Astyanax mexicanus: one gene and its partner. The protein of the gene in region 1 purifies or fractionates together with the protein of each later gene. This does not show direct contact. Links are inferred from orthologs where the notes say so. Each region holds a gene or a part of one and is shown in the gene's direction. Other genes may lie near its edges.

The links. The genes of interacting proteins can lie anywhere in the genome.
Region 2: the proteins of tmem9b (region 1) and clcn3 purify together in Homo sapiens (co-immunoprecipitation; 3 studies listed by BioGRID and IntAct, counting the BioPlex papers as one, with this or other methods). This does not show direct contact. The link is inferred for Astyanax mexicanus from reciprocal best matches to the Homo sapiens genes TMEM9B and CLCN3.

Annotation. Positions count from the first base shown.
Region 1 is NC_064423.1:41,763,266-41,771,308, reverse strand, and holds the start of tmem9b (transmembrane protein 9B), read left to right. Parts: upstream 1-4,971; 5' UTR 4,972-5,162; coding exon 5,163-5,240; intron 5,241-7,181; coding exon 7,182-7,273; intron 7,274-7,878; coding exon 7,879-7,987; intron 7,988-8,043. UniProt on the Homo sapiens protein: Enhances production of pro-inflammatory cytokines induced by TNF, IL1B, and TLR ligands. Has a role in TNF activation of both the NF-kappaB and MAPK pathways.
Region 2 is NC_064415.1:14,066,116-14,073,312, forward strand, and holds the start of clcn3 (H(+)/Cl(-) exchange transporter 3), read left to right. Parts: upstream 1-4,135; 5' UTR 4,136-4,224; exon of another isoform or gene 4,225-4,313; intron 4,314-7,197. Other genes in the region: nit1 (deaminated glutathione amidase), read left to right, coding at 618-754, 855-980, 1,812-2,072.

The DNA of each region.
Region 1 (8,043 bases):
GCTTTAGGTTATATATGGATATGATACAATTGCATATGAAATAAATCTATATATATATATAGTACATATCTATTTTTAATCTCCAGCTACTTCACTTCTGTGGCCGCAGTGGCCGTTTATGCGTTTATGATGATATGAATGTGTTGTATATATTGTGTGTAAAGGTATTAGATTCAGTTAAACTCTGAAGGTGGGGTCAGGGGTTCTGTACGCTTCGTTAGTCTGCAGTGATTAACTCGATAAAGAATGCACACTTCCTTTTTCAGCTCAGCAGATTCAGTGCAGTGCTGGTTGTTCAGTAACTTTAATGGGTGCATTGATTGATAGATAGATAGATAGATACTTTATTGATCCCGAAGGAAATTTAGCAATGCTAGTGCTAAGTTTCGGATAGAAATGCTGGTCTAGGCTTAAAGCAAAAAAAAATATTTAATAGCCTGTTATCCTAAAAAAAAGCCCACTGAGGAGAAAATAAGCAGATCAGCATCCGTCTTGTAGTCCTTCTGGGTTCCAAACTGTCTCCATCTATTGGTATTTTACCTCGTCTCTGTTCATGGAGCTTTTTAGAAGGAAGCCGATGCTGCAACACACTGTTAACACTTCACAAGAATGCACACTTCCTTTTCCAGCTCAGCAATTTCAGTGCAGCACTGGTTGTTAAGTAACTTTAACGGTTGCAATGTTTGCAATGCTTGTGTTGAATCTCTGATAGAAATGCTGTTCTAGTCTGGTCTTAAAGGAGAACTCTGGTGTAAAATGTACTTTTGTTGTAGTAAAACATGATAAAAAGTTCTTATCTTTGATGAATAGCACACCTCCGCTCTCCCACAGCGTTCAGAGATCCAGAAATTTTAACAGTTTATCCAACAAACACCCTTCAGACTGGGAGATACGGGGCATAATTTACCCTGATAAATCACTTTTTACACCGTTATCCAGCTCAAAGTAGCTCCACACCTCCTTACTAGAATCTGGAGAGCCCTGATATTTAAAACGAGGCATTAATAACTTAGAAAGTGCACAAAAAGAAGCTTATTAAAATCCACTGTTTACATCCCGTAACACTACTAGCTGCCGCCGCCATCACTGTACTGATAATGACATAGACATATATATACATAGACTCTGCATTGCATCTATAGAATCTATGTATATATATGTCTGTCATTATCAGTACAGTGATTGCGGCGCTCAGAGCTGAAGCTAGTAGCATTATGGGATGTAAACAGTGGTTTTTAATAAGCTTCTTCTTCTGCACTTTTTAAGTTATTAATGCCTCGTTTTAAATATCAGGGCTCTCCAGATTCTAGTAAGGAGGTGTGGAGCTACTTTGAGCTGGATAACGGTGTAAAAAGTGATTTATCAGGGTAAATTATGCCCCGTATCTCCCAGTCTGAAGGGTGTTTTTGGATAAGCTGTTAAAATTTCTGGATCTCTGAACGCTGTGGGAGAACGGAGGTGTGCTATTCATCAAAGATAAGAACTTTTTACCATGTTTTACTACAACAAAATCCATTTACACTATTTTACACAGGAGTTCTCCTTTAAAGGAACAAAATGTACTTTATTACAGCAAGCATGTAAAATAGATAACGGAGTCCAATTTCAAAGCTTTCTGCTTGAACAGAACCTACAGGGAAGAAAAAGCAAGTTCAAGAACGCTTTAAAGGGCTTTCAACACTGTACTCTGATAATAATTCGATCAGCTAATGTATATGTTTGTATAAGGTTGCGATGTATGCATTATTCTTGCAGCATTATAAACCAGCAGATATGGAGTTTATATAACTTTTAGCTTTTTAAACTGTTAGCTAGCTGCACCGTTATCTTAAAAAAAGACAATTGAGGAGAAAATGAGCAGCTCAGCATCCGTCTTGTAGTCCTTCTGGGATCCAAGCGATCTCCATCTACTGGTGTTTTAAACTATCTCTGCTCATGTAGAAGAAAGATTTTTAAGAAGATGCTGAGGCTACAGTACACCAAAGTTTACCTACGCTAGTGTGTTCCATACCTGGCAACCTGATAGAGGTAGTGGGCGTGGTTTAAGACTAAAACAGAGACAAACAGGTTTACACTCCATATTGAACAATTAATGGAAGAACCTCCTAGCTAAAGCTCTGCTGTCTGTGTGATGCAGGGGCTTAAAGTTAGCATTAGCTCTTTTACTGCTACTAAAAATTAGGTCAACAAAATTGATCAACTGATCACTGATCAGTTTCTGGGAATTTAACGGTATGTTTTGACTACAGGAATCTGAGCTTGGGCTACTTAACGCTACTCATTTATGTTACAGAGTTTAAATTAAAGTCTATATTTTTATGTCTGTACATCTAACATGTAAATAAAAAAACAAATAAACCTGGTATTGTTTCAAATCTATTTAAAAACCGATGGGTGGGAGAGTAGAATGAAGTAACTGTAGTAATAATCTGTGTAATAAATCAGGTTAAACTGTACCTGAACAGCTGTTTAGCTCAAATTAAAGGAGTATATTTGATAGCTGGGTCAGATCGAGACTGCATTACGTTCTCGTGTGGTGGGTGGGTCTTTAAAATGTAGCTCCTCAACCACAGACGCAGCTCCTCCTCTGTTGAAGGTGTGAACGGAAGTTTAACGGAAAATGTGGGTAAATTTTTGTACAAAATTAATTCTATAAAAATCTGTTTATCCATTGTACATGCGTTTTACTGTACGTAGATAAAAAAAATTAGTGACAGGACAGGGACACTTCAGGGGGCCAATCAGGTTTCAGCTTGGGCCAAAATGTCATTGTGGCCCCGTCCTTACGTAAAACTGTATCAAGCTTTATTAAACTCATATATTATGTAGATGTATTACACACAAAGTGATCTATTTTAAATGTTTATTTATTTTATTATTGATTATTATGAAGCTTACAGACAATAAAACCCAAAAGTCAGTGTCTCAGAAAATTAGAATATTATAAAAGACCAATTGGTACTTTTGGCAGTGTGGGCAGTGTGCCAAGTCCTGCTGGAAAATGAAATCCTCATCTCCAAACCATCACTGATTGGTGGAAACTTCACACTAGATCTAGTCTAAAGTAATTTCTTCTTTTATGGAGATGTGGATTTTATTTTCCAGCAGGACTTGGCACACTGCCCATACTGCAGAAAGTACCAATTGGTCTTATATAATATTCTAATTTTCTGAGACACTGATTTTTGGGTTTTATTGGCTGTAAGCTTCATAATCATCAATAATAAAATAAATAAAGGCTTAAAATAGATCACTCTGTGTGTAATACATCTATATAATGTGAGCTCCACATTTTGAACTATTAAAATAACTTTTCAATGATATTCCATACCTGTCAAGTCTCCCGTTTTGGCCGGGAAGCTACCGTATTTTACTCCTCTTTCACGCCGTCCTCCCGTATTATTATTTTCCCGTAAATTTCCCGTATTATATTAAAATAATATATATATATATATATATATATATATATATATATATATATATATATATATATATATATATTATTGAGGAGACAGGGCACTGACCGCTCTGTGTCTCTTAACCAATCGTGGAGCCGGTTCAAGGAGAAAGTCCCGCCTTTCAGGAGAAACAGCCAATCAGCTTGCAAAGGAGGGTCAGTGTGGGGAAGCCCCCCGTCGCGGTGAGTTCAGGCAGCTCGTCGGAGCAGCTGATGATAAAACCTATCTGTATATACAGCGATTTTTCTAAAAGAAATGTAACTGTAGGCTAATGGAAACTATGATGAGATTTTTCTGATAGCTGCTTAAAAATACTCATCTCCGAAATAAAACACACAGATTAAACCTTTTAAAATTATAAAAATAAAGTTTGTGACTCAGTTTAACTAGAAATTTGTAGAGGACCGAAATGAACTGAACTGATCAGGGGTGGAGTGATCAAAAGAAAGAAGTATTAATTAAAGATTATTAATTGTGTAGGCCCATTAGGACTAATTTTTACTGATGGAATATATCTGGTCCTTGTCCTTTTAGTAAAAGCTCATGATACTATTTTTTAGGTCACCTACAGTCATTTTGTAGAATTTGTGCACCCTTTGTTCAATTTTAAATCCATTAAATAAAAAAATATATATATCATATAAAAGAGTGCATTATGCCAAAAAAGCCAAGACATGAAATCTTAACTTTTTTTAAAATATCTAGATAAGGATTTTTAATTTGGCTGCATTAAAAGAATGACATATGTAGGATTGTCCACAACATTTCAGATTCTGATAATCTAATTGTAGTGTGTAAGTGTTTCACATGTGGTTATTTTAGATTTTTTTTAAACCTGTCTTAAAATGTAAGGGATACTGAACCTTCGTTGGGGATGGTGGGACGGCTTTAAGTGGACAGAGGAAAATATCCCTTATTTTTAAATCTAAAACTTGACAGGTATGTGATATTCTATTTTTTTAAGATGCACTAGTATAAAAATAAAAAAGAGAGCACTTCAGTTTCTGAATCAGTTTCTCTGCTTTTGCTATTTACAGGTTTATGTTTGATAAAAATGAACATTGTTGTTTTATTCTATAAACTACAGACAACATTTCTCCCAAATTCCAAATAAATTTATTGTCATTTAGAGCATTTATTTACAGAAAATGAGAAATGTCTGAAATAACAAAAAAGATGCAGAACTTTCAGACCTCAAATAATGCAAAGAAAACAAGTTCATATTCATAAAGTTTTAAGAGTTCAGAAATAATCAATATTTGGTGGAATAATCCTGGTGGTTTTTAATCACAGTTTTCATTCATGCATCTTGGCATCATGATCTCCGCCACCAGTCTTACACACTGCTTTTGAATAACTTTAAGCAGTTCAGTTTGGTGGTTTGTGATCATCCATCTTCCTCTTGATTATATTCCAGAGGTTTTTAATTTGGTAAAATCATTTTTAAGTGCTTTATTATTTTTTTCAGAGCTGTATAGTTCCTGTTTTTTGGTTCCTGTTGTTTGAGGGGGGAGTGTTATTGGTGCTGCACAGGGTGCTGATGATCAGCTGATGTGTTGGTAGTGCAGTACTGATTACACTCGGTTATTAATCTGATCTTTAGCCTTTAGAACCGTCCAGAACCCGCGGCTCCGGTTCTGATCGGCTCCGGTTCTGATCGGTGTGTGTGAGCGGGGTGTGAGCGGAGAGCTGTGCGGTAGAGAGATGCAGGCTGCGGGCGGAGTGCGGCTGCTGGCGCTGGGCTGTGTTCTGGTGCTCTCAGCGCAGCTCGCCGAGAGTAAGGTAAATAATCACATTTAATTATTAATATTAATATTAATAAACATTAATATACACTATCAGTTATTAAATATACCATTCTGTATCAGCGTCTACACCAGGATACCGTTTACATATAAACATCACTAGGCTAGCTACTGTACTTAGCTTCACTAGCTAGCGCGCTAATGCTAACTCTGTAGTTATCAGTGTAGTAACTAACGTTATAGCTATATGACAGCGGACTGTAAACCCAGTTAGCCAGCTAGCTTTAGCTAGATAATAACACTAACTCTGTAGTTATCAGTGGACTTTAAACCTGGTTAGCTTTAGCTTTAGCTAGCTCTGTAGTTAATCAGTGTAGTAACTTAACTAACTTATATAACAGCGGACTGTAAACTGAGTGACCAGCTAGCTTTAGCATTAGCCTTAGCTAAATAATAACTCTATAGTTTACCTGGTTAGCTTTAGCTTTAGCTAACTCTTTAGTTAGTAATGCAGTATATAACCTAGTTAACTGTGGGCTTTAAACATAGTTAGCTTTAGCTTCCTAAATTATTCTCCTTACTCATTTTTCAAGTTTTCCAGAAAAACTTGAAAAATGAGGTTTATAACGCTAACGTCAGCTAGTTAACGTTACACTAAATGTCATTTCGACAATTATCTTAAATAAAAATCGCCTTATTCTTTTATTTTTCACTAAAATTGTTATAGTAAAAAAACAAAAACATATATGACATGTTTTATTATCAGCTTTAGCTAGCTGCAGTTAGCAGTGTAGGCTAGAACTGAGGGCTTTTAACATAGTTAGTCATAGGTTTAGCCCTAGTTTTAGCTTTAGCCCTAGTTTTAACCCTAGCTGTATTGCTGGTTTTGGATTCAGTCCTAGTTTTAGACCTAGCTGAAGACATAGCTTTAGCCCTATCCATAGTTTTAGCTTTATTCCTAGTTTTAGCTTTATCCCTAGTATTAGCTGTATCCCTAGTTTTAGCTTTATCCCTAGCTGTATGCCTAGTTTTAGAGTTATCCCTAATTTTAGCTGTATCCCCAGTTTTTTACCCTAATTTTAGTCCTAGCTGTATTCCTCAGATTTAGCTTTATTCCTAGATTTAGCCCTAGCTGAATCCATAATTTTAGATTTAGCCCTAGCTGTATCGCTAGTTTTGGCTTTAACCCCAGCTGTATCCCTAGTTTTAGCTTCAATCCTAGTTTTGGCGTTAGCCCTAGCTTTATCCTTAGTTTTAGCTTTAGCCCTATCTATATGCCTAGCTTTAGATTTATCGCTTATTTTATCTGTATCCCTAGTTTTAGCGTTAGCCCTAGGTTTAGCCCTATCTGTATCCCTAGCTTTAGCCCTAATTTTATCTGTATCCCTAGTTTTAGCCCTAATTTTGGCCGTAGCTCTAGTTTTAGGTAGATAATAACACTAACATCAGCTAGTTACACTTACTGCCATATTGACACTTTTTTTACTTAATAATCTCCTTAATCTTTTTTTTCAAGGTTGTTCAGAAACTCAAAAAGTATATCAGGGTTTTTAAGGGAATTTAGATTAAGATTAGGCATTGTGCACAAAGGTACCTGGTACCTGAGTCCTATTCTTTTGGCAGTACTGTGATTTAATGTATTAATTAAAAGGATGTCTGCAGTTATTTGGATATGTAGCTGGTTGGGTTGGTTAGCTGATAAAGTGTGGTTATGTTTCTTTATCCGCCAGTAGTGCAGAACTCAGGTTAAAAACAAAACAAGGGGGCTAGGCTCTGCCACGATATTTACATTATCAACTAATTGTACAATAAATTGACATGACCTTAATAATATGCAATAATGGTGATTTTTAACAGTGAACAGTTTTTTGCCCTGCCCTTACCTGTGGCGTCTTGTGATTGATACACAGGGTTTAGATATTTCCCTTGTTAATCTTGTTTTTTTATGTTTCTATGTTGTTTTTTTACTCTGTTTCAGAACTCTGAAGACATACGATGCAAGTGTATCTGCCCACCTTACAAAGAGATCGAAGGACAGATCTACAATCAGAACGTTTCACTGAAGGATTGGTAATCCATTAAACACAATCTGAGAATCTGCTTTTCCACAGGGGATTAAATTTAGCTCTGGGCTGTTCAGAGAGCTGCACAGTGCAGTGAGCCTGACACGATAATTACTTTATTGATTTATTGTACACTATACCCGGCACAACCTTTGTCATTTCCGCTGAACTCAGAATTATTATTAATGTTTATAAACAGCCCAGATAGGGATTGATGGACGGAGGTTTCCGGTTGAGAGTACCGTTTTTTTTTTTTTTGCACTATAAAGTGCATTGTGCGACACTAGTAAGGAACAGGGGTGTCACCATTTTTTCCTACTAATTCAGCAGGTCTTGCCACTGGGTGGCGGATCTGTAAAGCTAAGCTTAGTTAGGTAAACAAAAAATTCCCTTCTAATTCTTAAATACAATAACAAATGCAGTAAATACATTTTTCTCAACTATTTTTTTTTCTGTAATACCTAATATTATATTTTCTTAGGATTAAATTCTCTGTTGTTACTGTTATGATTCCATCCTTTCCATCGTTCATTCCTACATAAATTCGAGTTTTTAAATCGTTAACGTAATTGTTGATTGGTTTATATTTAACATTTATATTCTTGTCCTCAGTAACTGCCTGCATGTTGTGGAGCCGATGCCGGTGGAGGGGAAGGATGTGGAGGCGTACTGTTTGCGCTGTGAATGCAAATACGAGGAGAGAAGTTCTGGAACCATTAAAGTGAGTTTCTGCTTCTAAAAACTAAGATTATACAGCAAGAAGTTCAGAAGTACATG
Region 2 (7,197 bases), on another chromosome or scaffold:
TGTGGACAGACCACCAAATTGTATTTCTTTGGTCTGGTCCAAAAATATGTGTAACAAAAAATGCCTCAAAAAAAAGTAATTACATTTCAAGATGTAATAATTAATAATTGTTAATAAATTATTATTTTTTTTTATTAATAATAAAATAATAAGGTAAAAAAGAAGGTAGTAAAAAAGGAAAAATAAATTACATAGTTATTGATTAATCTTATAGTTATAATCCATGGTAGATTATTGATGGCCAGGGTAATCTATTGTGGCAACCCTTCTAAAACATGCAGGGCGGAGGTAGTGCGGGTTAATGTTTATAATACTGTGTAAGCTTTCATTTTTTAATTAAGAAATGTAGAGCTGAATAGAACAGTCCAGTCACAACATGCTATTAGCATTATTAAATTAATAAACCATTTTAATGAACAATTACCTATCATCCTCTAGCATTATCCTTTCCTGCAATATACTGTTTTTATCAGTACTGCCCAAGAATAAGGCCTGGTCTGGTACAGAGAGCCATGCATCTACACACATCTACATCTCTTTGCCATATCTAACATAACAAACAAAAAAACCTTTGGCCAGATTTGCAGTTCATTGCCTTTCTTGTGCTTTATCTACAGGTGGGATTGTGTCGGTGTACAGGAAAGGTCACCTGTTTGATGTGGAGTTGGCGAATAGAGGTGTGTCTCTAAAAGAGAGTGCTTTCACTATTCCTGGGCCGAGTTTAGTGCCTCCTGTTGAAACACCCGTTGGAAAGGTACGGCAGTCGAGTCTCTGTATGAAGGTTTAAGTGTTTAAAGTGTTTGTGTTGTGTATTAACCAGCATTAGTATTAGTACCTGTTAAATGGTTCTATAGGTGGGACTGGGTATCTGTTATGATCTGCGTTTCCCTGAGTTGTCGCTGGCTCTTCAGAGGCAAGGGGCGGAGATCCTGACTTATCCATCAGCGTTTACTGTGGCAACTGGAGCCGCTCACTGGGAGGTGAGACACAAAGTTAAAACGAGTGTTACAGAAGCTTTATTGGTTCCTTGAGCTGTTTTTATTTGTTTTCTTAATCAGGTCTTCAAACAACAGACAGCGTAGGGTGGAATACAAAAATTACATAAACTGTGCGTTTATTCATGTTTTGTCATTTATTTAATCCACCATTGTTTTTATAGACATACTCCTTGTAGCATTTGGTAAAAATGAGTAATGTGTTCAATAAAAGCTATTTAATTCTGATACACAAATGGAATTGCTGTTCCAAACCTGAATACTGTGCTTCCAAGAGGTTAAAAAAATCAGTTTGACCAGAGGAGATACAATTTTACTCATCTCATTTTTTTTACAATCTTAAATATGCAATATTAACGGTATTAATTACTTATTAACGCTTTTTGACAGATGAATATCAGTCTTACATGACCTCCAAACATGGTTTGAGTAATCCAATCGTAATCTTGAGGGTCTTGAAGGTGTTTAGCCCTGGCGATCAGACATACAGGGGCATTTTCCCAAACAATGATTAAGCCTAATTGTAGACTAGATTTTTCTTTCAACTGAAAATCTCTATTCACAATCATGTGTAGTCCAATACTAGGCTTAATCCCTGTCTGGGAAACTGCACAGAGGTGAACTAAATTGATGCTCTAAAATATGCAGACTATTTTATTTTTGGCTTTTATTTTTTAACAAGTTTTATTCATATATTGTTACTAGAAAATCAACAGAATAAGTGATTTGAGCATGATTGCCCAAACTATTGCAAGAGATTCAGTGAAATGTGTTTAGATAGAGAAACAGCCTCACATTATTCTCTCTTGTTTCCAGGTGCTTTTGCGAGCCAGAGCCATTGAAACACAGTGTTTTGTTTTGGCTGCAGCACAAGTTGGAGCTCACCATGCAAAACGTTCATCATATGGCCATGCGCTAGCAGTGGATCCATGGGGTGTGGTCATGGGGGACTGTGGGGGGACAGAGGGTGGCGTGGCTTTGGTGGAGATTAACCTGCAGAGACTACAGGACACTAGAAGGGACATGCCGGTCCAACAGCACAAGAGGCAGAGCGAGTACTACTGTGGTCTGGATTAAACTGAGATGGACAGCGTATCTACAAAGGATGTTGAATATGGTTAAAGATGGAGTTGGGAATACCATGTAATTTTTTGTGGACCAGTTATGCATCATACACTGTATGTCCAGATGTTTGTGAACACCCCTTCTAATCAATGCATTCAGCTAATTGAAGTTAAACCTATTGCTGCACAGATGTGCAAATGCACACCCAGCTTGTGTAGTTTTTTTTTTATAGAAGTATTTCTAGAGAATATAACTCACTTGAGCAGATAAACTTGAACCTTTTGGCATCACATCTAATGCCAGACATGGGCTAGTGAAATATAAAGCCCTCAACTGTGGAGCAGTGCAGCTGTGTTCTGTGGAACGATGATGCCCCATCCAATACTTTTGGGATAGGTTGGGGACTTGTGAATGAAATGTGAATGGAAAGCTGAGACAGTTACTCCAACAAAAGCAGAATATACTCTTTTCACTGCGGTTGAATTTGTGAATGTTTTTTTTTTTTCAGGAATTTGGAGATAAATTATGTCATACACACCCAACTATGAATGAGATGGGATTTGGTTTTACATCTGAACGGTAGTTATAGTCCTGTGGGGGTTGATGCTTTTCAATAAAATATTATTCAGTAAAATGGAAATACTAATGAACAGATGTTATGACTTCCTCCCTCATAATCAATACTGCATGTTCAGCTCACCAACACCCCAGCATTCTTAGATCTGAGCTTCACACATTCAGTTCCCATTTTAGAAAGAGAAAGAAGGAGAGGAGGGGGAGGGAGGTAGAGATGTGAGACACAAAATAGGAGGTGGGAAGAGTAAGATGAGATGTAAAAGACATGGGACATGGAAGAGAAGGGGGTGAGGCAAAAGGAGACAGAAATAGAAGGAGCGAGTGAGAGAAACAAAGGATGCAGATGAAACTTAGAGAGTCAGAAGAGTGAGACAGGAAAGAGGGACTGATGTATGAGAGTATGGGAGACTGGAAGGTGAGATTGAGATAGAAAGGCTCTGGGAAAGAGCCTGTATAAGAAAGAGAGGTATAAGAGGTATAAGAAAGAGAGACAAAAGAGGGGATGTAGGAGAAAGTAAGACAAAAAAAGAGGAGTAAAGTAAGAGTGAGACTAAAACTGAGAGACACAAACAAAGAGAGGGGATGAGGGAGAGAAATAGAGAGGATGTGGGAGAGAGCACAAAAAGTTGGAAGAGAGACACTAAAAGGTAATGGATATAGAAGGCATTAAGAGAGATGGGAGAGTGGGACAGAAAGTGAGGGAAAGTGAGAGAAAGAGATGGGAGGGTGAGAGAGATGGGAAAGAGACACTGAAAAAAGATGGAAGAGAGGGGATGTGGAAGAGAGTAAAAGATGGGAGAGACAGAAAAGGATGAAAGAGAGGATGTGGAATGTAGAAGAGAGAGAGAGATGGGAGAGTGGGACAGAAATGGAAGGAAAAATGAAGAAAGTGATGGAAGATTAATAGAAATGGAAGGGTGACAGAAAAAGAGATGGGAGAGGGAATGTGAGAGAGAAAAATAGATGAAAAAGGATGTGGGAGAGAGTGAGAGAGGTGGGAGAGAGACAAAAAAAAGAGATGAAAGATAGAGGGGATGAGGGAGAGAGAGAAAAAGAGAAGAAACAGAGGGGATGAGGGAGAGAGTGAGAGAGATGGGAGAGAGACAGAAAAAGTGGTGAAACAGAGAGGGGATAAGGGAGAGTGTGAGAGGTGGGAGAGAGAAAAAGAGATGAAAGATAGAGGGGATGAGGGAGAGAGTGTGAGATGGGAGAGAGACAGAAAAAGAGATGAAAGATAGAGGGGATGAGGGAGAGAGTGAGAGAGATGGGAGAGAGACAGAAAAAGTGGTGAAAGAGAGGGGATGAGTGAGAGAGATGGGAGAGACAGAAAAAGAGATGAAATATAGAGGGAATGAGGGAGAGATGGGAGAGAAACAGAAAAAGAGATGAAACAAAGAGGGAATGAGGGAGAGAGTGAGAGACGGGAGAGAGACAGAAAAAGAGATGAAACAGAGAGGGAATGAGGGAGGGAGATAGTGAGAGAGACTGGGGCACACCGGAAGCAAACGTCACTGACACAGGAATGGGCTAAGATCATCTCAGCAGCAGCATCAGCAGCCGAACATGGCTTCTACTAAATCCTGAGAGGGTTCGTGTGTTATTAGTGTGATTATAATTTTAAAGTGGAGAAAGCATGGTGTGTTACCTCAGGGTCGGTTTCGAGGCTGTGTTATTCAGGTAAGGCGGCGCTGTGGGCTCGGCTGGGGTTGGTTAGTGTGTTTAGCAGCTGTTAGCTGTTAGCTTCTCCTCAGCTGCTCCTGAACTCTCTGAGGGCTTTTTTTAATGAAGATAACCTCGATTTTACACTAACCTTCACATCTAAAACACCTGAGTCTGATTAATGACCGGGTCCAGGAGCTCCTGAACACCGCTGGCTGAGTGTTTGTTTGTGCTGTTGTTTATGAAGCTAGTTGTAGCTAGGTTAGGTTAAGTGTTGTTGTTTATCTAATACTCGTTTGTAGCTAAATGTGACTTTCGTCCGCTCTGTGTTCAGTCAGGCCTCCTCGTTCACACAGGTGTGAAATATAGCCGGTTAAAACCCGTATTATAGCGTTATTTCTGTTTCTGTCTGTTTAATATGAAACGGTAACTGTTAACTATGTCGTATCGTTTTCATGTAGTAGTTAAGCACTGGAGTTACGCGGTTTGTCTTTATACAGGTGTTCCCTCGTGAAATATATTAATTCTTGAATCTAAACTTAGTAGTAGGTAGACGATATGGCCTTAAAAATAATATCACGATAATTTATGGAATTTTTGCTATAGCGATACTTTTAGCGATATGACAAAACACTGAAATAAAAAAAAGTATTTTAATAATACGCTACTGAAACAGAATGAAAATTACATTTTATTATTGCATATCACATGATATTACACACCCCTAACTGAGATATTAAAAAATATAAGTATTTTATCAGATTTCTAACAGAAGACAATGATCCAGAATGTCATGATACTAATAATGCACTGCATATATCCTGGATTAAAGTAAAATAAATGATACTGGACAGATATAATATGTCTCTAGTATATATATAACGTGAAATAAGAACAGTGTGAATTTTTTTTGTGCTGAAAACAGCAAAGAAGTAGTACCCTGATGTGATAATTAGGGGTGGGTGATATGGCACGATATTTCAGTTTATAATATCGTTCACGATATTCAAAAATGTTTATGATATTATTTTTTACAATACAACATGACACACCCCTTCTTAAAAAGCATTAAATGTATGTTTAAATTAGGTAAAAAGTACTAAACGTATGTTTTAAATTTAATATACCAATTTAATATAAAAATACACATTGAATATACTTTTTCTGTATTTTTCATAAAATGTATTTTTATACAATAGGCTTCAAATTATACAGTGTGGTGACCGAATATATAAATATGTTTTGGCGTTAAATACTTTAAAAAAAGTGCACTTTAGTTTTTTTCAGTAGCTTTAAAGTGTACACAATATGTGCATCAATACGCAAAGAAGTACATTTAGAACATACTTCAAGTGTATTAAAATTATGCTTAAGTTCGCAGAAGTTATACGAATTAAAATCACTTAAAAGCACAGCCTAATGCTTCTACGTTGTATTTAAATATAGCTGAATTACAATTGAAATATACTTAAGTTGCCATAAGTACGTATTCATTTTAGTGTTAAAAGTATGTATTTTTTCATGTTAGGTATACTTACAAAATATACTTAAATGCAAGGGTTGTTACAAATTGATAAGGTGCACACCTTGTTTGTTTTATCACACCTTGTTTGTTTTATCACACCTTGTTTGTTTTACCAAACCTTGTGTCTGTGTTTTTACGTTTTTACATAGATAATTGCTAGATAGAAGCCTTGTCTTCACTTTATTATGGAGCAACACATTTAAAACAAATTATTTCACACGTTACATAAAATACAGAACTTATTCGCTCATAATTACGTTTATATAGCACCTTTTTGCATTGAGCACTGAGGAGTTGACCCAGCAGAGAGTGCCAATCCATATCTGGGCATACAGTCATACATACTTACACACAGTGGACAATTTATTGGACTGTGGGAGGAAACTCACACAGACACAAGGAGAACATGGAAACTCCACTCAGATAGGGACTTGAATCCAAGCTCCTAGTGCTGGGAGGCAAATGTGCTAACCACCAAACCACCCTGCCCCTTACAGTGCTCTCTTAGGGCTGAGTGGACTAGTTCACTAGCTAGTTATCTAGTTTATAACACTATTTAAAGTTATTAAGACCAATTCTTTAAAGTTTCAAAATACATACAAATCTTAAACCAAGATTTTGTATAAAACAATAATAGTGTATCAAAAAAAAATTAAGTAATATAACCAGAAACGTCTACCATAGTGCAATCTAAATTGCAGGATATTTACTGATTACATATGAACTGCAAACAAACAAACAAACAAACAAAAGTAAATACAGTAAATGGCTTTCAAGAAAATAGTTGTATTTGCTTAAATCAATTTTATTGGTTTCTACTGTTTTATTTTCATTAAGACCACACGCAATGGACAGAGAAGATTAGATGGGGCCCTTTAGGGAGGTTAGGTCTTTCCTTCTGTCATTGCAAACTTTGTAAAGTGTAGAAAGGAGCTTTTATTTATAAAGTACGTCAGTAAGCAAGAAGAGGAATGGAGATGTGGTCTGTCCCAGTGTTCAATTTCAATCTCTTGACCCTATATCTAGAGTTGTTAATGGTAAAATGGTGGTGTATGTAAAATATAAAACTTTTTTCTTCACTGTTCTCATAATAAGTGAATCAGTGTTATAACTACATATACTTGGCCTAGTTTATCAGACTTTTATTTAGCAGGCTTTTTTCTTTACTTTACTAAAAAATACCTTACTTCCTTAAAATTATGGATTAAAATATGGATTTTGGGATGCATGGAAACGTATATCCTTCCTCATGATGTTTTTCGTCACTCATAAGCCACAGAGAGATGTAAAGTGTGAAACAGGCCTTACAGTAGCTAAACATCTGGTTCATGATGTGTTCAGTAATTATTCAGAAACTGTTTGTAGTTTGTCATATCT